4 linked regions of the Arabidopsis thaliana genome follow. The protein of the gene in region 1 interacts with the protein of each later gene in a pairwise test. Each region holds a gene or a part of one and is shown in the gene's direction. Other genes may lie near its edges.

Evidence for each region.
Region 2: the proteins of AT1G35210 (region 1) and SK32 interact in a two-hybrid assay, tested with the Arabidopsis thaliana proteins (one large-scale study listed by BioGRID).
Region 3: the proteins of AT1G35210 (region 1) and SKdZeta interact in a two-hybrid assay, tested with the Arabidopsis thaliana proteins (one large-scale study listed by BioGRID).
Region 4: the proteins of AT1G35210 (region 1) and AT1G68140 interact in a two-hybrid assay, tested with the Arabidopsis thaliana proteins (one large-scale study listed by BioGRID).

What each region holds. Positions count from the first base shown.
Region 1 is NC_003070.9:12,896,065-12,899,651, reverse strand, and holds AT1G35210 (uncharacterized protein), read left to right. Parts: upstream 1-1,976; 5' UTR 1,977-2,267; coding exon 2,268-2,738; 3' UTR 2,739-3,070; downstream 3,071-3,587.
Region 2 is NC_003075.7:293,072-299,106, reverse strand, and holds SK32 (shaggy-like protein kinase 32), read left to right. Parts: upstream 1-1,627; 5' UTR 1,628-2,104; coding exon 2,105-2,167; intron 2,168-2,445; coding exon 2,446-2,691; intron 2,692-2,770; coding exon 2,771-2,863; intron 2,864-3,007; coding exon 3,008-3,067; intron 3,068-3,155; coding exon 3,156-3,428; intron 3,429-3,556; coding exon 3,557-3,631; intron 3,632-3,717; coding exon 3,718-3,774; intron 3,775-3,854; coding exon 3,855-3,995; intron 3,996-4,119; coding exon 4,120-4,170; intron 4,171-4,250; coding exon 4,251-4,346; intron 4,347-4,425; coding exon 4,426-4,509; intron 4,510-4,614; coding exon 4,615-4,717; intron 4,718-4,914; coding exon 4,915-4,991; 3' UTR 4,992-5,519; downstream 5,520-6,035. Other genes in the region: BSK3 (BR-signaling kinase 3), read right to left, coding at 6,011-6,035.
Region 3 is NC_003071.7:13,181,514-13,187,649, reverse strand, and holds SKdZeta (SHAGGY-related protein kinase dZeta), read left to right. Parts: upstream 1-1,676; 5' UTR 1,677-1,779; coding exon 1,780-1,890; intron 1,891-3,001; coding exon 3,002-3,094; intron 3,095-3,307; coding exon 3,308-3,367; intron 3,368-3,449; coding exon 3,450-3,722; intron 3,723-3,810; coding exon 3,811-3,885; intron 3,886-3,961; coding exon 3,962-4,018; intron 4,019-4,206; coding exon 4,207-4,347; intron 4,348-4,441; coding exon 4,442-4,492; intron 4,493-4,567; coding exon 4,568-4,663; intron 4,664-4,788; coding exon 4,789-4,872; intron 4,873-5,000; coding exon 5,001-5,102; intron 5,103-5,204; coding exon 5,205-5,300; 3' UTR 5,301-5,625; downstream 5,626-6,136. Other genes in the region: AT2G30985 (uncharacterized protein), read right to left, coding at 586-744; ASP1 (aspartate aminotransferase 1), read right to left, coding at 5,964-6,036. UniProt on the Arabidopsis thaliana protein: May mediate extracellular signals to regulate transcription in differentiating cells.
Region 4 is NC_003070.9:25,538,380-25,543,800, reverse strand, and holds AT1G68140 (zinc finger/BTB domain protein, putative (DUF1644)), read left to right. Parts: upstream 1-1,977; 5' UTR 1,978-2,294; exon of another isoform or gene 2,295-3,007; intron 3,008-3,370; 5' UTR 3,371-3,386; coding exon 3,387-4,391; 3' UTR 4,392-4,877; downstream 4,878-5,421.

The sequences.
Region 1 (3,587 bases):
TTTAAAAGGGACAAGGTCGAAGATTCGAAATCCTTGTTTTGCAATTTTATTTTAAGATTTTAACTCCAAAAATGCAAAACAACGTCGTTTATATACACTTCATAATCCACATGTTTGCTGAGTCAGATTTGTAACGATGTTGACTAACACATGTTAGTTTGAATCTGATTTTTACACTAATTATCAAGTTCATGTATAAATTTCAAATAATTGTGCGGTTTGGGTAGTAAATCCTATACTATTAATTGGAGACTACACTCATAAGTTGTCACATTCAAAAGTGTAACAACCACATTAATATGTCATAGAAAAATATAATCATAGAATTTGATCCACTTAATAATCTCACGGGTCTACGGATTCTAAAACGGTCAAGTTATTATTTCTAAAAAAAGAATAACCAATCAAAATGATCATATAAGATTTGATATCTAACTTACCATATTAATTTGTTATTAATTATTATACTTCACCTCACATCTTTTTATCATACTATTTTTGTGAACAAAATAGATCATCATATCATCCATAAAATATAAAAATAAATAGATTTTCAGACTTAGGTAATATATATTCTTAAAAAAAATAATTCAACAAAAGTTTTAACTGACTGACGGGCCAAAATTTATATTCGATTTCGTAGAATTGTTTTTTGAAATAATATTATATACCACCATAATAAAAAAAAAAAATTTTGAACATTTATAAATATTGTAATTTAATATTTTTAAAGAATATCACAATTATTTAATAAATCAAAATTTGAAAAATTGTTAGTACTCTAATTTGATTTTTTAAAATAGATATATTTAAAATATTTATAACAGGTGACATATTTTTTTCGTCGAAAAGATAATTTTATTAATTTAAAACGTCATGATACAATTGTTCACTGGGCCATAATTGCAGGTACATACAATCAGAAAAATAACAAGTAGATCGACATCCCCTTTTAGCTAACAAGTGTGCTGCCTTATTACAACTTCTCTTCGCGAAGCTAAATTCAATTTTTCGTAATTTTGTAGCCCAGTAATGAATATTTTGATGAATTCTAACGATAAATATATCATACAATTTCCCCTTGGCCATATCAATCAGAAATTCACAATTAAACATGTTAAATATAATATATTATATGATAAAACAAGTTATAATGTTTATAATAAACGGTGGGTTAAAATTAGATGTGATGATTTAAATAAGGATTGCAACCTCTAAATATTTAAAATTTTGATTTTGTAAGTAATTTTTTCATTAGAATTCTAAAATGAAAAATACGGTTTCTATGTACGGGCTGAATTTTGTATTATTATATACCAAATATATGTTTATAATATATTCGATTATGCTAAATTATGTAATTAGCTCAAACAAACTTCTATTTCAACAACTAAAAAACTGAAAATTCAGAAATGACTTCCTAAATTAACTCAAAGTAATAGCTAAGTTCCTTAATTAATATATTTTAGATATGGTTCATTTATAATATGTTGACTTTTGATCTAACATAATTATATGCAATCTTATTTTGTGGTTGCTAAATTTTTTTCACTTACTACTATAATATATCAATTTGTTTTTAACAAAAATATAGAAATAAAAATTAAACAAAACTAAAATTTAACCCATGTTTATCCTACCAAATTATTCAGGTATGAAAATACACTTAGCCAACAGTAAAAATATGAAAATACCCTTTTCCTATTTGGTAGACGCAAAAATATCAAATATTATGGTATCATAGAAATATGTTAATTTTAGAAAGATCAATTCAATTGTAGTTGATTTGGAATTAATTTTTTCAAAATGGTAGAAAAAACCATCTTATGATTAAAACATTATGGCGTTTAAATGTATTTTGTGTGTAAATTTAATAACGTACAAACCAAAAGAACTAAACTTATATATATTTTTGTTTGTTTTATGTTTTTTAATATGTAAATGTTTATATATTGTATATGAATTACACAATGTTTGGGACTTTCTGCGCCTACCAGACTCGGAATTTTCTAGTCATTTCAACTGACCTGTTACACTCAATCTTAGCCGTCACTTAATCTCTTACTTTCATCCTAACCGTTGATTCTTCTTTTCCCCGACCCACACGACCTGTCAACTAAAAAAATCTTACAAAAGGCCCATCTTCAAACTTTCCCGGAAAATCCCTAGAAACCTCCAATGAACCATCCACGACCAAATCATTCTCTCCATTAAAATTATATAAACATTTTTGATGTTTCTTCTTAACCACTCAAATAGATGAAGAAATGGCGAGCTTAAGCACGAGCTTGCTCGGAATAAGACGAGGGTCAAGTAACAAGAACAAGGCAGAAGATAAGACCAAAAACGCAGTGTTTTGCAAGAAGCATCCAAAGCATAGACAATCACCTGGTGTTTGTTCTCTTTGTCTTAACGAGAGGCTCTCTCTTTTTATCAAAGCAGCTTCTTCACGTAGACCAAGATCTCGTCAAATCTTGTCTACTTCTTCCTCAACTACTTCCTCTCTTTCATCTGACGGTTCTTCTTCTGTCTCTTCTTGTCCTTCTCCTATTGTTGATCGCCGACGATACTTGTTAATGTCCGGAGGCAGCGGTAGAGGAGAGAAAGTGATTTCGTGGATGACGAAAAGCCGATCCGTAGCTTATAAAGTGGATGATGAGAAAAGAAGGAAGAAGAAGACAAAGACGAATAGTGGTTTCTTTTTTGGTTTGGTAATGGGCACAAAGAAGAGACAATAAGATAGTCAGTCTTGTAGATTTGTTAGATTAGATTGTTCTTGATTGTGTATTTTCTTGATTCTTTCATTTTAGATTGATTGCTACATATAGATGACTAGATCAGTTTGGTGGGTACGTGCAAGTGAGAGAGATTCTTTATACGTATTCTTGTGATTGATTCCCTAAGCTTGTAGTTTAGTGTGGTAACATAAAATGTGATAATCCAGATTTAATATGCGTTGAACATATAATTATATGCGCTAAATCAAGAGATTTGCGAACATGTTTTTCGTTGTTTATTTTCTTGAAAAAAAATATTTTCGTTGTTGATTTTAGTTGACCCCCCAAAAAAATGTTGTCGTTGTAGTTATTAATGTTCGCACACTTACTTGAAAGAAAACTTAGACTTTTCTTTGATGAAACTCGTGAGAATATAAAATGGAAAAATGTCAAAAAAAGCATGAACTTTCAAATTTGGGACGAAAAAAACGTGAACTTCCAAACTGCCAATAAAATTGTAAAGTTTTGCTTGACTTTTGATAAAATAGTCAAGTTTTGTTGACTTTGCCATTTTAAGCATGTCGTTAAGTTTCCGTTAACAAAAAAATAACAGGATTAATTTTTTGTTAGCATTTACCGTTAAAAGCAAAACGACGTCATTTTGAAATTGGAAAAAAGAAACAAAAACAAACACAAGGAAGAATCGAACTAGTGACCTTCTCAATGCTATTAAAGCTCTAAACCATTGAGCCATGTTAACGTTTTAGAAGTATTGTAAACATATATATATATACGTAATAAATTAAAAATAACCAACTAAAATAATTCAATAATAGAGAAAATTTACCCAATCCTTCTCATATAAATATA
Region 2 (6,035 bases), on another chromosome or scaffold:
AAAGAAAAACGTAAGCAAGTGAATTTAAATAGCTGTACGGTGGTGGGCTTTATTTTAAAGCCCTGGCCCGTTATGGCTAATGATTCCTAGATCTTATAACATTAATTGGGCCTACAACAATATCATGTGCCATTATTTATCCGTTCATTTTGCAAAGACTTTAGATTGATACTGCACTAATAAGCCCATAAGGCAAGTGAAAAATGTCATTTAATCCCCCAACTTTCAAAAAATGGTCATTTTATATATCAACTTCGTATGTGGCCGTTTAAAACATGAACTAAAGGTTGACTAATTTTTTAAACATGATCTTTCGTTGACCAGACTAAAATAGACATGCCGTTATCAGTCATTAACGGAACTTCTAATGTCCGTTATCATCCGTTAATTTTATTAGTCAAGTTTCAAATTGTGGCCATTTTAAACATCAACTTCTTATTTGGCCATTTAAAACATGAAGTAAACGTTGACTACCATTTAAGACATGAAAAATTCGTTGACCAGGCCAAAATAGACATGTCTTTATCAGTAGAACCTAGAAACTCGTTAATGACTGCTAATCTATCCAAAACAACGTCGTTTGAGAATAATCGAAAGAACATAAAGATTTTTTCCATATGAAATTTCCATATCAAAAAGTTTTAAGCAGAACCCAAGAACATAGTTTGATATAGAGATAACCGCAGTGCCAGTAATTGGAAGCAAATAAAGGTGTTTTCGTTTATATATTTGTTTTAAATTTTAAAAGGAATCATGGAAGCAAATTGAAGACTCATTATAAGATTGTTCGTCTTGTTTGAGCGGTTGTAGAAATAGATTTGGGGAACTGGAGTTTCATTTAGAAAACAATCCTGATTTTCTTTGGATTATTCTCAAAACAAAGTCATTTTAGGGATACTAATAGAGTCGTTAACAAGTGATAATGAATGTTATAAGTTCTTTTAATGAATGATGACAACATGTTTATTTTGGCTTGGTCAACGAATTTCTCATGTTTTAAATGGTAGTTAACTCTTAGTTCATGTTTAAAATGGCCACATATAAAGTCGATGTTTAAAATGACCACAATTTAAAACTTGACTAATAAAGTCGTTAACGGATGATAACAGAAGTTAGAAGTTCCGTTAATGACTGATAACGGCATGTCTATTTTGGCCTGGTTAACGAATAATCATGTTTTAAAAGTTAGTTAACGTTTAGTTCATGTTTTAAACGGCAGCATACGAAGTTGACGTATAAAATGACCATTTTTTGAAAGTTGGGGGATTAATTGACATCTTTTCCCATAAGACAATGGTTCAATCAGTAATAACCACATCCTCATTAACATTCCTCAGATAGTAAACTAACCAATATATGTTTTATTTTACTTCGTTTCTCAATCTAATAGATTACTTGAATTGTTTATAGATTACCTCATAGGATGATGATAATTAATAGTTTAAAATTTTGAACAGAGACATTATTAAAAATGTCTAAAAACAGTAAGAAATTACTAAAATTATCTGTTGCAGGAGCAAAAAGAGGGAAGTGGTCAAAGATGGTCAAATGAAAATAATACAGTGCCCGCATATTCCGCGTGGGCTTAGATGCAATCATTCAAAACCCCCAAATCCTTTTGCCTAATCCCGGGATACGTAAATAGACAAACAATACAGGGGTACTTTAGTAATCACAGCTTGTCGAAATCGGGCGGATTCATCCTAACCCGTCGGATGAGCTGCTGCGATAAATCAACGGTGAGGAGTCAATGTTTGACCAAAAAAAGAGTAGAGAGAGATAGAGAAAGAGAACGAGGCTGGCATGATTGGCTTTGCCCACGAGAGAGAGAGAAAGATTCCACCTGGGTTGGGTCGTGAAGAAAGAGAAGAAGAAACCGAAGAAGCTCGAAGAAGAACGAAGGAGATTCTTCCTTTCCCCAGATTTTTCGTTTGAAGAAGAATCGAAAAACTTAGATTTTTGGTTTTGCTTTCGGAGTTATTCGAATTTGAAATATCTGAATCTGTTGATTCATTTATTCTCCGCATGAAGCTGTGTTGGTGAAGTTTTTCGGAGATTTAGGGTTTCTGAGTTGTTCCTCGTTTGGTTGGTGAATAAAGCGAAGATGAACGTGATGCGTCGTCTCAAGAGCATTGCTTCGGGTCGGACCTCCATTTCTTCGGATCCTGTAAGTATCCATTTTCAATGTCTCTCGTTTCAAGATCAGATTGATTTTATATTTCTGATTGTTGAAATTTTTCTCTCATTCTCATCCAGAAATTACGGATTGATGTCGTTTATAGTATGTTACAAGTCAAATTTAAGCTTTTGAGATCTTTAGTTTTAGATATTCTAGTAAATGCTTATGTTTTTGTATGAATTTGATTATCTCTGCTGTTTCATTGATTTTGGATGAGTATGTTGATGTTGACCTGACTAATTTCGTGTTTTTGGTGTTTGTTTTAGGGTGGGGACTATGCGTTGAAGAGAGCTAAGCTGGATCAAGAGAACGACAACTTGTGTGTTGATCCAATGCAGGTTGACCAAAATAGTTCTTGTTTTGAGATGAAAGCTGACGTTTTGTCACAAGAAAGTGTTGCTGGAACGTCAAATGTGCCTGCTGTATCGGAAAAACCCGTGGATGATCAGCTTCCCGATGTTATGATCGAAATGAAGATTAGAGACGAGCGAAATGCCAACCGCGAGGATAAGGTGAGTTGCTTAATCAATGTATATATCGTCGTCGTGATCTCCATTAGCCACTGCTCACATCTTCATTTGGCTTGTGAAGGATATGGAAACAACTGTTGTAAACGGCAGTGGGACCGAAACGGGACAAGTTATTACGACGACAGTTGGGGGTAGAGATGGAAAGCCAAAGCAGGTCATTCAACTAACTTTTTTTCTGATTGCCGTTGTGTTTGAGAAAAGCTATTAATCATGATAGTCATTTCTTTTATGAAAAGATTGTTTCTCTTTTCACTTCTGTTGGGTGTATCTTTAATTTACTCTTTCTTTCTTGTTTCAGACTATCTCATACATGGCCCAGCGAGTGGTTGGAACCGGCTCATTCGGAGTAGTGTTCCAGGTAGGTGGAAATTCTTATAGCAGGAACATAACTAATCCTTAACTATTTGTGTTCCCAGAATTTGACTTTCTGTCTGATTTTTGGATAGGCCAAGTGCCTGGAAACGGGTGAACAAGTTGCAATTAAGAAGGTTCTGCAGGATAAAAGATACAAGAACAGAGAACTTCAGATCATGCGTTTGCAAGACCATCCCAACGTTGTGCGGCTGAGGCATTCTTTCTTTTCAACAACTGACAAGGATGAGCTGTATCTCAACCTTGTCCTTGAGTATGTTCCCGAAACTGTATACAGAGCATCGAAGCACTATACCAAAATGAATCAGCATATGCCAATTATCTTTGTTCAGCTCTATACTTATCAGGTGAGTTCTATTAGCTCTCCGGTTACTCGTTTCTAGTAATCTGTGTAGCATAAAGCTACAAATACATAGGAAATTTATAATTTCACTTATGCTGATTTTGTCATTTCTGTTGCTTTGTTGGATATCAGATTTGCCGTGCGCTGAACTACTTACATCGCGTGGTTGGGGTGTGTCACCGTGACATTAAGCCACAAAATCTACTGGTATAGTGTGAATAATTTCTGCTTAAAGGTTGGTAAGACGTATGAAAGGATAATTCATTGATTCTCTTATGATGTGGCTTTCATAGGTTAATCCCCAAACTCATCAATTAAAAATATGCGATTTTGGAAGCGCAAAGATGTTGGTATGTTCATTTTTTTTTGATGAGTTCTTGGAGATGAGTTATCATTTGAATAATGATGGCTAACACCCTTTGCGTCTCAGGTACCCGGTGAACCTAACATATCCTATATATGCTCCCGGTACTACAGGGCCCCAGAACTTATATTTGGGGCGACAGAGTATACCAATGCCATTGACATGTGGTCCGGCGGTTGTGTCATGGCAGAGCTTTTACTTGGTCAAGTAAGTATATTATACATTGTAGAGTTTCGGTTATGATGAACCATTTTATTTTGATTGATCAGTTTTCATTATTACTTCGAAATAACATTTAATCTGATAACAACTGTTGATTTTCTACCCGTAGCCACTGTTTCCCGGGGAAAGTGGCATTGATCAGCTGGTGGAGATAATCAAGGTACTTAACCTGATCCCTCGTGTTCCTTCATCTCTCTTCTATATTTAATTTACTAGTTTACTCATCTGTACATCTACCAGATTCTTGGGACGCCTACAAGAGAAGAAATACGGTGTATGAATCCGAATTACACAGAGTTCAAGTTTCCTCAAATCAAAGCTCACCCGTGGCACAAGGTTTGTTAAATAATCGCAGGTGCCTCTTTGGTGCGTGTGCTTGTTCAAATGAAATTTAATGTAGCATATAACTCTTCAGATTTTCCACAAGCGAATGCCACCTGAAGCAGTAGACCTCGTCTCAAGACTCCTTCAGTACTCACCAAACCTTCGTTGCACTGCAGTAAGACTAAATCCTGCTGGACACCACAAAACTATATAATCTCCTTGGCTGATTTGGAATTTTCTAACTCAAATTCTACAAAACACTTTTTTTCCATTTGTTAAGTTGGAAGCTTGTGCACACCCCTTCTTTGATGACTTACGGGATCCAAATGTTTCACTGCCAAATGGAAGAGCACTGCCTCCATTGTTTAACTTCACTGCCCAAGGTCAGTACATATATTATCTTTTACCTTAGCTTCATCCTTACAAAAACTGTGAAGTTATCATTAGCCGACTTTGTTTAGATTTCACAATCATATGTGAAGAGTAGAAATTGCAGCAGAATACAAGAAATGTTTTGACGGATTGGGTCTACATTTGGTTCTGTCACATTGATTTGTTGCCATTGTATGTGACTATTCAGAACTTGCGGGTGCATCAACAGAGCTGCGACAGCGTCTAATTCCAGCACATTGCCAGGGAACGGGAAGTAGCTCTTAGGATCATTTATAGCGTGTCCAAATCCAGCTTTCTTTCTCTCCCTCTATTTACTGCAGTGTGTACATCAATTTTGAACCACTTCTGCTTCCAAGCTTTTGTCGCCGGAGGAGAGATTGGAAATCTGTACGCCGGGACCTGATGAGGTGTGAAATAACTGGGGTCATGAAGCTTCTTCTTCTTCTTCTGACTGGCTTTTCTCTCAATTTGCTATCCTTGTTATTTTCACCTTCACTTTCATTTTTTTGTTTTTTTTTCCACAAATCTGACCCCCCTTATATGTTTGGTGTATCATTTTTATGTGTTTGTAATCCATCAAGATCATTTTCCCTTGCCCTAATATTGCAAGCTAAGATTCCGTTTCATGTTCCTCTCTAAGATGGTTTTTGGGTGAACAAATAAACTCTTAACGACATTTTTCTATTGTATCTCAGGACTGGCACAGATTCCAGGTAAGCTATTTAACTGAAATGCACATGTTGTTTAATTAAAGTTGAAAAGCGAGGAAGATGAATGAAGAGTTAACTAACTTCACAATCGGACGAGTAATTAAACTATACTGTAGGAGTCGAAAGTCCTGTAACTTTGACACGAATTTGTGTTTGGTTAAAATTTTGAATAATTTACTCAACTATTGGAATTTAACCACAAAAACCCCTTTCACTGTCGAATATCTCTTTAGTCAAAAGACAAGAGTTCATACATGTTTAGTCTGTGTGACCTATAGATCAAAAGAAACAAAACCCTCTTTTGGTTTCTGCAATAATGGGTTTTTTAGTACAATAAAGTTTCAGGAAATGGATTTCAAAGCTAATAAAGGAAATGACTCCTTCAATTCAATGCCCATAAAAAGAGGCACAAGAAGGGCAAAACACCTCATACAACCAGAAGAAGAGGGTCTATAGTTTTGCATTGCTCTTGAGTGTTTTCCCATCATTGTGCTCAAAAGATTCATACCCCTTTTACTTGGTAAGATGTTCTTTCATCTTTCCCAACAAGAAAAATCTTAAATGCTATATATCTTACTTCACTCGGGGAACTCCATTC
Region 3 (6,136 bases), on another chromosome or scaffold:
ACTATTTGTGTAAATCTGAATCAAAAAGATTCCATGATAAAGAGAAAGCAATGGAGATAAATGTCTTAAATATTGTCTGGCACTTAAGGAGAGGTTTCTTGTTGAAGTGATGTACAGCTCATGTTAACGGAGATTTCATGGCAATAATTCCATGTGACACTGCTTCTTTATTCTCTACTAATAGACTTTTTTTTTTCGTTCTTTTGTAATTATGGTTTCAAAATATAGAGCTCACTAGAAAGGAAACTTGAAAGCTGCAGAATTGAATTGAATTGAATACCTTGACTAAATTAGTCACTAGAGGAATTATTGAAACAATATTGGTGTGAAAATGTTCACATTTCATCTCTTATTCTCTTTATATATATAGTGGCATGGAAGATCACATGCAAATATATGAGTGAAGAGAAATTTAAAAAACAATATAGAGAGAGAGTGAGAGGTTTCTTTATCAGTTAGTTTGACATGAAAGAAGCTGCTGCTTTTGGGGGTGTTTTGTTCTTGATTTTCATGTTTCTTCTGTCGTTGTTACTTGTAACCATGGCCGTATTTGCTTGCTCCAAAAAGAAGGAAAAGAAGAAGGATTCAAGTTGCTGTTGCTGCTGTAAAGGTGGCGTTTTTGGCGGTTGCAGTGGTGATGGTGGTGGAGGAGGAGGGGGTTGCTAGATAAGTAGATATATCACTTGGGTACTGTTTCCGTACGTATTTGAATTTATGACCAATTTGCTTAGAACATCTAGGCATTACCTAAAGAACAACATGTGCCTAATCTTATTATCGTTATGCTAAAGTAAAATCAAATATCTATTTGATATTAGTATGATCGGATCCGATTCTTGCATCATCCTACTATCAGTTTCATTCTACTTTAATAGTTCCATCGTTTGTATTTTTTCTGCACAAACTAATCATCTTAATGAATAATTTTATCACCATATCATGTTAAAAGAAAATTTCGACGTAAATATATCATGTCATGATGTATACAAGAGAAAAATATATCTCAATCATAGTTTTTGTATGTATATATTTTAACATTGTTTTGATGTTATTTGTCCATAGTGTTGGTCGTTGGAATCCAAATAGCGAGTTATTATTAAACAAAATGTTCCAAGAAATTGATTATGATCGTCATTCGTCCATGTGCTAAGTCCACTCCCCTTATTCTAAGACTTTTATCCATCCTTTAAATTGGACCAAATATTAAAAGTCAAATATGTAGCCATCTGGCTCCAGAGAACACCAATTTTTTTTCTAAAATGACAAAAACTTAGAAGATTCAAGATTCAGAAAACACATACGTAACGTAAGCCAATATTTTTCCATTCAAAGAGTTTACCGATAGCGAATAAAAACTGTTAAAAAAACTAGAATGAATACTGTAAACAATTTATATTAGTAGATAGATTAAAGAGTTTTTAAAATTGTGGTAAAACTCCAAAACAACTATTAATCTGAAAGAGAGTAGTTGTTGTTAGTTTACCCAAATTATCTGATTGTGTGAATGTAGTAATCTCCACAATAAATTGCATTATGGTATTATTACGGAGTTATCAGACTTTTCACTTCACCAATCACTGTGCTTATTAAATAATGACTACTTAATAAACAGATTAGTGTTTCATTGGAGCGTAAGAATCACGCGCTAAACTTACGCGTGGGTTTCCTCTTTATCTTTAAAAATTTTCTCAAGTTTAGACAGAACACCAGGTAATAGAGAGAGAACAAAATAGTCTTTACTCTTTCAGTGAGAGAGAGAAGTTAGAGCTGTAAAAGCACATGACTTCGATACCATTGGGGCCTCCTCAGCCTCCGTCTTTAGCTCCTCAGCCGCCGCATCTTCACGGCGGAGATTCTTTGAAACGTCGTCCCGATATAGACAACGACAAGGTTAGTTTTTTCTTCTCTTATAACTTGAAACGTTTGTGTGTATCTCTCTCTCTCTCTCTCTCTCTCTCTCTCTCTCTCTCTCTCTCTCTCTCTCTCTGATTGATTCTTTCGTGAACAATGTATTTCAATTTTCGTTTTGTGGGTTTTCTAGATCTAGCTCGGATTTTGCTTGTTTCGATGTGTTAGTCAATCGATCTGTGTTCCTTTTTAGTCAGCGTTCTTGATTTGAGCTCATTGAAGATTGTGCATTTTGACTTCATAGTAGCTAGTTTTACTTTTCTTCAGCTGAAATTTTCAACCTTTTTTGTAGTGAAGATTGATCTCTTGAGCTGTTTTTGATTAGTAGCAGTAAACCTTCGAACCCTAAAGAAGAAATTAGGGTAAATAACAGAAATTTTCTAGTAATAACCCTTTGAACCCTAAAGAAGTAACCTCATAGTTTGGGTGTTAAATTTAACACTTTTGACTTCACAAAGTACTTGTGTATCTTCGAGTTTTTTTTCTTCTTTTTCCTGACAGTTTTTGGAGTATTCGTTTAGATTATATGATTCTTGGCCCATTCTGTATTGATTCTGAACTCTTTTCTTTTGTTTTATGTTCTTTTGCTTTGTTTCTCCACCTGACAGTGTCTGTTCCATGTTGTGTCTGATTGTATCTTTTGATTTTGTACAAGTTTCTTATGTCCACAAAATGGTTGACATCTTAATCTTTCTCTACTCTTGAAGTTACAGTTATCATTTTTTAGCTTTCCTTTACCTGTAACAACTAGTATAGTAGTATGCATTTGTTTTCTGAATTTTGTTAGCCTCTGGTCAACAGGAACTTGCGACATCATTTAGATTTACATTTAGTTATCTTACATGATTGAATTCTCTGTAAATTGGGCATTGACTGTTCTTAGATTTGAATGCTATTTTAAAGGAAAGTTTATATTCTGGAAGATTTCATACACTTGATAGAACTGATTGAAAAACGATTCGAATATTTTGAATTATTTGTCTATTCAATCAATATACATCGGAGGAAACACTAATTGTTACTACTTTCCTTCATTCTTTGTAGACAAGAATAGTTTTAACTCCTGTAATAATATGTTCACGTTTGATTTTAGGAAATGTCTGCTGCTGTTATAGAAGGAAATGATGCTGTTACCGGTCACATAATTTCTACTACAATTGGAGGCAAAAATGGTGAACCTAAACAGGTTGGATTCTGTTGTTTATTAAATCTTTGTAATGATTTAAATCATAGTTATTGCTCGAGCACACTACCATGTATAAGGTTACCTAAGGTTTGGATTAATCTATAGAAATTCAACAAATAAATAAATAGGTTTTTACATCTTTTGACTTTGTGGCTCCTTTTTTCCAACTCTAAGTTCTACTCTCTAATGTTTTCATCCCTCTGGCCTTTACAGACCATTAGTTACATGGCCGAACGTGTTGTTGGAACAGGATCATTCGGAATTGTATTCCAGGTATCATTGTGCTTGTCACTGTCTACAGGCAAATGGCTTTTTGTCTTTCCTTTCTGATCAGATTGTTAACTTACCATTCTAGGCAAAATGCTTGGAAACTGGAGAATCAGTAGCCATTAAGAAGGTTTTGCAAGATCGCCGTTATAAAAACCGAGAGTTGCAATTAATGCGACTAATGGACCATCCAAATGTGGTTTCCTTGAAGCATTGTTTCTTCTCTACAACGACTAGAGATGAGCTCTTCCTCAATCTCGTTATGGAGTATGTACCAGAGACATTGTACCGGGTTTTGAAGCACTATACTAGTTCAAACCAGCGGATGCCTATCTTCTATGTCAAACTTTACACATACCAAGTATGCATTGTTATCTACTCTTTCCCCAATAAATACTCTTTACTCTGTTGTGTTTATCCTAAAACTGTTTATAAAATATGTTGTGCAGATCTTCAGAGGCTTGGCTTATATCCATACTGCTCCTGGTGTCTGCCACAGAGATGTGAAACCACAAAATCTTTTGGTACGTTGATCTATTGTGGGTTTTGTCTTTGGTAACCTTGACTAGATTGTAATCTTATTCTCTGTATGTTCTGTAGGTTGATCCCCTCACCCATCAGTGTAAGCTCTGTGATTTTGGAAGTGCAAAAGTACTGGTAAGAGGTTTAGACTTTTATTTACCCCATTTGTTGTTTGTCTTTTCCACTGTGCTTGTGTCTTTGCATGCAGTAGTTAAAAACTCCAATTAAGTGAATATTATGCAAGTAATTTACATAAGTATGGATGCAGTTTCAGATATTTCTCTGTTAGCCTGATATTTGCAACATTTGGCTTTTTATATTAGGTGAAAGGTGAAGCAAACATATCATATATCTGCTCTCGGTATTACCGAGCTCCAGAACTCATCTTTGGTGCCACAGAGTATACATCATCCATTGATATATGGTCTGCTGGTTGTGTTCTGGCAGAGCTACTTCTTGGGCAGGTTAGTGTAAATTTCTAACCTGTTGAGTATCTTGAGAACTAAAGCATCTCTCCAAAATCTTCTGTAAACAATGTGGTATTATTTATCTTCACAGCCGTTATTCCCGGGAGAAAATTCTGTGGACCAGCTAGTGGAGATCATAAAGGTGAACTCTTCTTTTATTATATTTTGTTTTGGCGTCATTTCCTGTCTGTGCTCATGATGTGCTGTGTTGGTTTAGGTTCTTGGTACTCCAACTCGCGAAGAAATCCGGTGCATGAACCCAAACTACACAGACTTCAGATTCCCACAAATCAAAGCCCACCCTTGGCATAAGGTAATATATATATATGCATGTCACTTTCGAACTTCTTTCTAATCATACAATTGCTTACTTCTCTACCTAAACAACATTCATGGAAAAGAAGCTAACACGGTGCACAACTGCTCTATGACCTCCAGGTTTTCCACAAGCGGATGCCTCCGGAAGCCATTGACCTTGCATCTCGGCTTCTTCAATACTCACCAAGTCTACGTTGCACTGCGGTTGGTATTTCTAAACCAAGTACTCTTAATTGTTACAGTGGTTCTCTCTGGCTTCTTTGGACCATACACTGTTCAATGAAGGAGTGAAATGTTGTTTTTCAACTGACTTGTTTGTTTGCCGTCTGAAGCTCGAGGCATGTGCGCATCCGTTTTTCAATGAACTCCGTGAGCCAAATGCTCGTCTTCCAAATGGCCGACCTCTACCACCGTTGTTCAACTTCAAACAAGAGGTATGTTAAACCATTCCAAAATCACTTTTCCTTCAACCAAACATAACTGAATGTGCATACAGTTACTCAATCTGTTAGCTCTCTCTTTGACTATTGAAACAGTTGTCTGGGGCTTCACCGGAGCTTATCAACAGGCTAATACCAGAGCATGTGAGGCGACAGATGAATGGTGGCTTTCCATTTCAAGCTGGACCCTAGAAAAGCGATCTCGAGATGCTTTTCCAGAGCAAAATGCCGCCTTATGGAATGAAGGAGAGGGAGATTTACTTCTCTCTGATTAACTAAGTATCAGCTTCTGAGAAGAGATGATGTCTCCTCCTTAGACGTGGCCAATTCAGCTTTTTGAGAAATCAGGAGGCGATGATTGTGTCCTATTATATTCTTTTTGTTCACTGACTTGTAGAGAGATACTTTTCTCCTGTATCAGTATTTGTATATGTTTTTGTCCTTGAAATGAAACAAAATCGATTCCAAACTGCAAGTCAAATAACCGAAATGATGAAATGAAATCATGATAATCTAAAGTTGCCTACGGTAAAAGTAAAAACTAAAAACATTTGAAATCAATGAGCTTGAGGATAAAATTTTGCCAGCATTGGCATTGTAACGTTGAAAGGAAACAAGCACAAAAAGAGCAATTGAGAAGAAAGAAAACAATCCGAATTTTGTATATCCAAAAATCCATCGTTTAGGCTTTGCTTTTATTGCCCAGCTAACGAAAAAATGCGCTAATAAATTACTGTTTATGGGTAAACTTTCAGTTCCCACAAAACCAATTGCAGAAGTACAAATCTAGCCTCCTGTCTTATTGACTCTTCAAACAAAATTTGTATGTTTGGCTGAAACATGTAAGTAAATGATTTAAGATGACTTGGTGACTTCATGTATAGCATTCGCAAGGTATCCCACGTTTCCTGTTGTAACACCAGCCATACTGCAACCAAACATCAAGAGCCTCAATGATTAGGAAATGGCTTGCATTGAAATTAAGCATGTTGATGTTAGGAAATGGATTGCATTGAATGTGAGCTGAA
Region 4 (5,421 bases), about 13 Mb from region 1:
TGGAATCATGACTTTGGTTACCATCCTAGTAGTCATAAAAAAGTGTATACATATATTCCTCCCCTTCTCTTATATAGTTTGTTTATTAAGTGACAATAAGATAATTAGATCCGGTTTCTTTGAAAATTGTATTACATTGTTTAGTTTTGTAAATCCAGTTTATGGCCGGCATTAGGGTCTGCGAAATTTCCCATCACATTCACATGGATGGTACCATGTGAAATACAGAAGACCATCGAACGTGTAGATATTTTTTTTAAACTTGTCACTGATGTGTTTATAGCTAGATGAATTCATCTCTTCGAATAAGGTAGAGTTATAAAGATTGAATACTGAATAAAGAAAAAGATGGGTGAGATCAAACGCACCATTAAACTTTTTATTTACTCAATTCAACATCATAGATAGGTCTATAAATCAAAACATTCAAAAATTCATAATGAGTAAGAATATTCTAGAATATGGCGCTGTCTATATATTTTGAATTTTCCTATTAAAGTTGTTTTGAAAATTTCAATAGATATCTTCTTAAAGTCAAATTGGTGTTATGAGATCATAAATATATATGAGAAAGAAAAAAGAAAGAATTAACTGATTCTATATTTAGATTGTATCAAATAATATAAGTTTTATTGTTAGTTTGGTTGAACAATCTCACAAAATTTCTTGATCTCAAGGATTCATCTTTAAGAGAAGGATAACTAATTTCATTTATCCCATTAGTACTAGGCTACTAGCTAACCTAAAATATTCTTTCTATGATTTCGATGTACATACAGGTTATGTTGATAGAATATGTGTGACATATGTGAAGTCCGGATTTTGGATTCTTTTAAGCGTTATGTGATTTATTTAAGCAATAAACTATGGTTTACAAACTTGACATGTACACAAAAATAAAAGAAACTTGACATGTCTCTTTTTTTCTTTTTTCTTTTAGTTAGTGTGCTTTTAAGAAGATGTCTATATGTGATATCTTATTTATTTTTATTATAATCACTAACGTGAAATTCAAATTAGCAATTAATAATTCGTACCAAAAATACCGAGAACAAGATACTTGCCTCGGGATCGGATCTAAAAATAGTCAACTAGAAGACTTTTAATTTTTATTATTTTCATACTAACTGTCCTTTTATTAACTTAATTTCTTTCTTGCCAAAAACTTTATCAACAAAATTATCAGCTCTGTACTAATATTATTACCGAGACAACCGTTTGAAATTGTCTATCTATTAAGAGTATTTACATTAGTAGATCTAATCCTATATAAAATCGTTATCTTAAATCGAATTAGCATACAATATAAGGTTACTTGCAAATCATGTAAGATTATCCACATATACTTTTCGTACAGTACTTTTTTTTTATAAGTATCCATTTTATTCAGAGTTGATTACGGATACAAAAAAAAGAGGTTAATCCGTAGAAATCAAATTGGATAATGAATGTTTCACAATTGTATAAAATCTATAGTCAAAACACACAATGTTGCAGTATCATCGAATGACTATCAATATGAGGAGTTACTATATTATTAGAGTACCAAAAAGTTTATAGACTTAAGATTAACATTTCAACAACAAATCAAGCTTATGGACTTTGGATTAACATTTCAACACAACAATATGATGATCCGTCTTTACACGGGAAAGCATGTGTCAAAAGAATATGCATGTGTTTTGTTTTACTTATCTTACCAAAAAAGAACTTTTTGCTGATTTTAGATATAGAAAAATATAGCATATAGTAATATAGTGGAAAACTAAAACATTTGACAGAGGAGACGTGGGACAAGAGAGCAAGCGGCGCCGCAGCCATATCTCTCGTTCAAATTTTATAATTACAATTAAGAAAAGGTCAAATGCATTTCCCATTGTCTCTTTGTATCTCTTTGTGTCACTAAGTCAACCTTTAATTGAAATCCTCCATATATTGATCTGTCCAATATCAAATTTTAACTATGGATAAGTATATGTCTAATTCGTGGCCAGGCCCATTAGGGACTTTTAGAGGGCCTTTAAAACAATAAGCACGCGCGTCAGTCTTACGTATTGTAAGGACGCGTGGACGTTTTACTTGACGTGAAGGAAAGAGAAACTCCGATACCAGAGCTTGGTGGAGCAGTGGAGACGCTTCCACGCGAATCTCGCAGTCCCACTCGTCTTCCTCCTTCCCTCTCTTCCTTTGAATACCTTACCTCTCTCGGTCTCGCTCCCTCCCTCGATTCAAGCCTATTCGTCTTCTTACGCTGTGTCTTGAAACCCTAATCTTTTTCATTTCAATCCCTAAAGGTGAAGTCTTTATTGCGTGTTCGTCTTCTCTGTCTTCGTTTCTACTCTTATTCGTCTAATTTGCGATCTGGGTTAGTGTTTTTTTCTTACGGATTTTAGTGGGTCCGTGTTAGATTATCGAGATATTGATGTAATTCGAACTTGTGCGCCGCTGGAAAAACTGAATTTTGTGTAGCTATGACTTTTCCGATTTCTGGTTAGGTTCATGAGTCATTGAAAATTTGTTGAATTGTATAATTGAACTTGTCAGAATCCATCTGTGTATTCTTATGTTTTTGAATTCTAGGGTTATCGAGAGCATTTCGTTCTTTCTTATACATTTATGCTAACATTTTTATATAAATTTCTATGGATCTGAGATGTGTCAAAGGTCTTTGTTCCATGTGGATTAGATTAGATTCTAAGGTTTCTCCTTTGTTTGTTTAATAATTGATTCACTGTCATGTCGCGTGAGTTGTTCTGTGAAGCATGTTCCTTTTGGTTGTCTTGTAACATGTCTGCACATCTTTTGTTATTTTTTTATTTTCTTTTATGTAATCTTATTAACTGTATTTGATTTGATGCGAGACTTTGTCTCACCAGTTTTTATTCTTGGTATCTCTATACATTGATTCTCCATCTGTTTGCTTTCCATAACTTGTCGATTTGGTTTTGTCATTGTGTTAGTTATCTTGTGAGTTTGAATCACTTTTCTAGGCTTCCAAGCTAGTGAGGTACATTACTTCGTTTGTTTGATCTCTTTTCGTTTCGGTATGAGTTCCTTGATTTGATTTAAGTTTCATAGATTAGCATTGTTTGTTGATCATGCAATTCCAGGGATGTATGAATTCAACATGTTTATTCGAACCTCCCTCTTTGTTTGCTATGAGGTTGTGAAATATCTTTTATAGATGCATATGTAAAGCATTATCATGAAATAGTTCCCAAATCAGAGTGTGGGATGCTACTACTAATCATGTTGTATGCTGAATGGTGAACTGGAAAAATATATGTAGTTTCCATGAAGAGATATCTACTTGTATTGTTACAAACTTTTATGTGGAGTTCTTTTGCTAATTTGATGAGGATTTGTACAGGTGTGATTTTGAGATTATGGCCAAAGCTAGGAAGGCAGGACGTAGGGTTCCTTCACGACGCTTCAGGGCAAGAGCAAAACCATACAAATTTCCATCTTCTAAAAGACTTGTGGCGAGAAACATGTTTGCGGAAGATTGTTCAAAGTGTCTAGAGAAGAGGGATTGGGAGAATGTTATATGTTCGGTTTGCATGGAGTGTCCACACAACGCTGTCCTTCTTCTCTGCTCATCTCATGACAAGGGATGTCGTCCTTACATGTGTGGAACCAGTTTCCGGTATTCTAATTGCTTAGATCAGTACAAGAAAGCGTCAGCTAAGCTGAAGACATCGGGCCATCAACAGATCAATAAGTCTGAGCTTGGAAATCTCACATGCCCACTTTGTAGAGGACAGGTGAAAGGTTGGACAATCGTACAGCCTGCTCGTGACTTTTTGAATCTTAAGAAGAGGATCTGTATGCAGGAGAACTGTGTTTATGCTGGAACCTTCAAAGAGCTGAGGAAACACATGAAAGTGGACCACCCTAGTGCGAAGCCGCGTGAAGTGGATCCTGATGTGGAGCAGAATTGGAGAAGGCTTGAGATCGAGCATGACCGGGACGATGTTATGAGCACGATTAGGTCGACAATGCCTGGTACAGTGGTGTATGGTGATTACGTAATTGAAAGGAACAATGCCAACGGTTCAGATTCAGACGAGGGTGGTGATGATGATGGGATCGATGCTGCATTTGGTAGGAATCTTGTGAATGTTTTCCTTCTGTTACATGCTTTTGGGGCATCAGGTAATCAGATCAGACGCTCTGATTCAGATTCGAATGACTCGACAACAATCAACCGAGGAACAAGTGAGCTGAATTTCTCTGAAGAAGAAGAGGAAGAGGAGGAGGAGGAGAGGCATAGTAACAGTAACTCTTTGGCAAGTCGAATGAGGCGACAAGGACGCGTTCTGCTGGGACGTTCAGGTAGGAGACGTAGAGATAGAGAAGCTAACCAGAACACAGGTCCTCCTCCTAGATGAGAGAGAATCACACGAATTCAAAAGAAAACCCTGTCTGATTTTGGGTTTCAGGTAAGCTTTATGGTATGGTTAGGTACAAATGTAGTTTCGACAAGTTTAAAACAAAACAAAAAAAGGCTTTTGGCCTTTCTGCTATCACCATTGGAGAATTTGGGAATTTGACTCGAAATTCTTTCATATGCTAGAGAAGCAGGCTTGCAATCTCATGTTTTATTTACTGTATTCTGATGTAACTTTCTGGGTGGAAAATTCACAAATATCTATCCTTGTGAATAAGCATGATCAGTGATGATGACCAATGAAGTCTTTTAGCGAATTATGAAATTGTGTTTCCTTGTGTTTATAGATTCCATGTGCGCTTAGAGACTTACCTATGAATCGTTGTAGAGTCTTCTAAGAGACTTAGACCACACACACTCACAAGTGTTATGTGTATGTTTCTCTTAATAACATGATTTTATTTTGGTGTAAGTGTATGATTTAAGCTTAAACATTCGTTTTTTTTCTAAAGTTAGTTTACTGCTTAGAGTTTTGGAAAATACACCAACATAGATGAAATATGTTTGGTTTTGTTTTTCGGTTTCGAGAGTTGCCTCGTATCGATGTGGTAGCTTCTACGACCAACAACACTCAACATTAAACATGTGTTTGGTTTTTGACTTTTGTTAATAACATGATCTTATTTAAGTGTTAGTGTACTATTTAAGTTAAGCATTCGGAGGTTTTTATTCAGTTCGCTTAGAGTTTTGGAAAATATACCTCACCGATAATCGATTTTATGTAATTAGTTTTGATTTTGATGGAAATGTCGATAAACAAAATGGTGGGGGCCTTTTACTCTTACGATACCTTCCTTCTATCCTTTCACTCTTTTTTACTCGTCGCTATCGAGTTTTGTCGTGTCCCCATTTTTTGGGCAAAATTACAGAATCAATAAATGGAGGAATATATAGACTGTAATTGTGAACAAATTGACAAAAAATATTAAAGAGATTTGGGTTTGGAATTGGACAAAAAGTGGCATCCACCA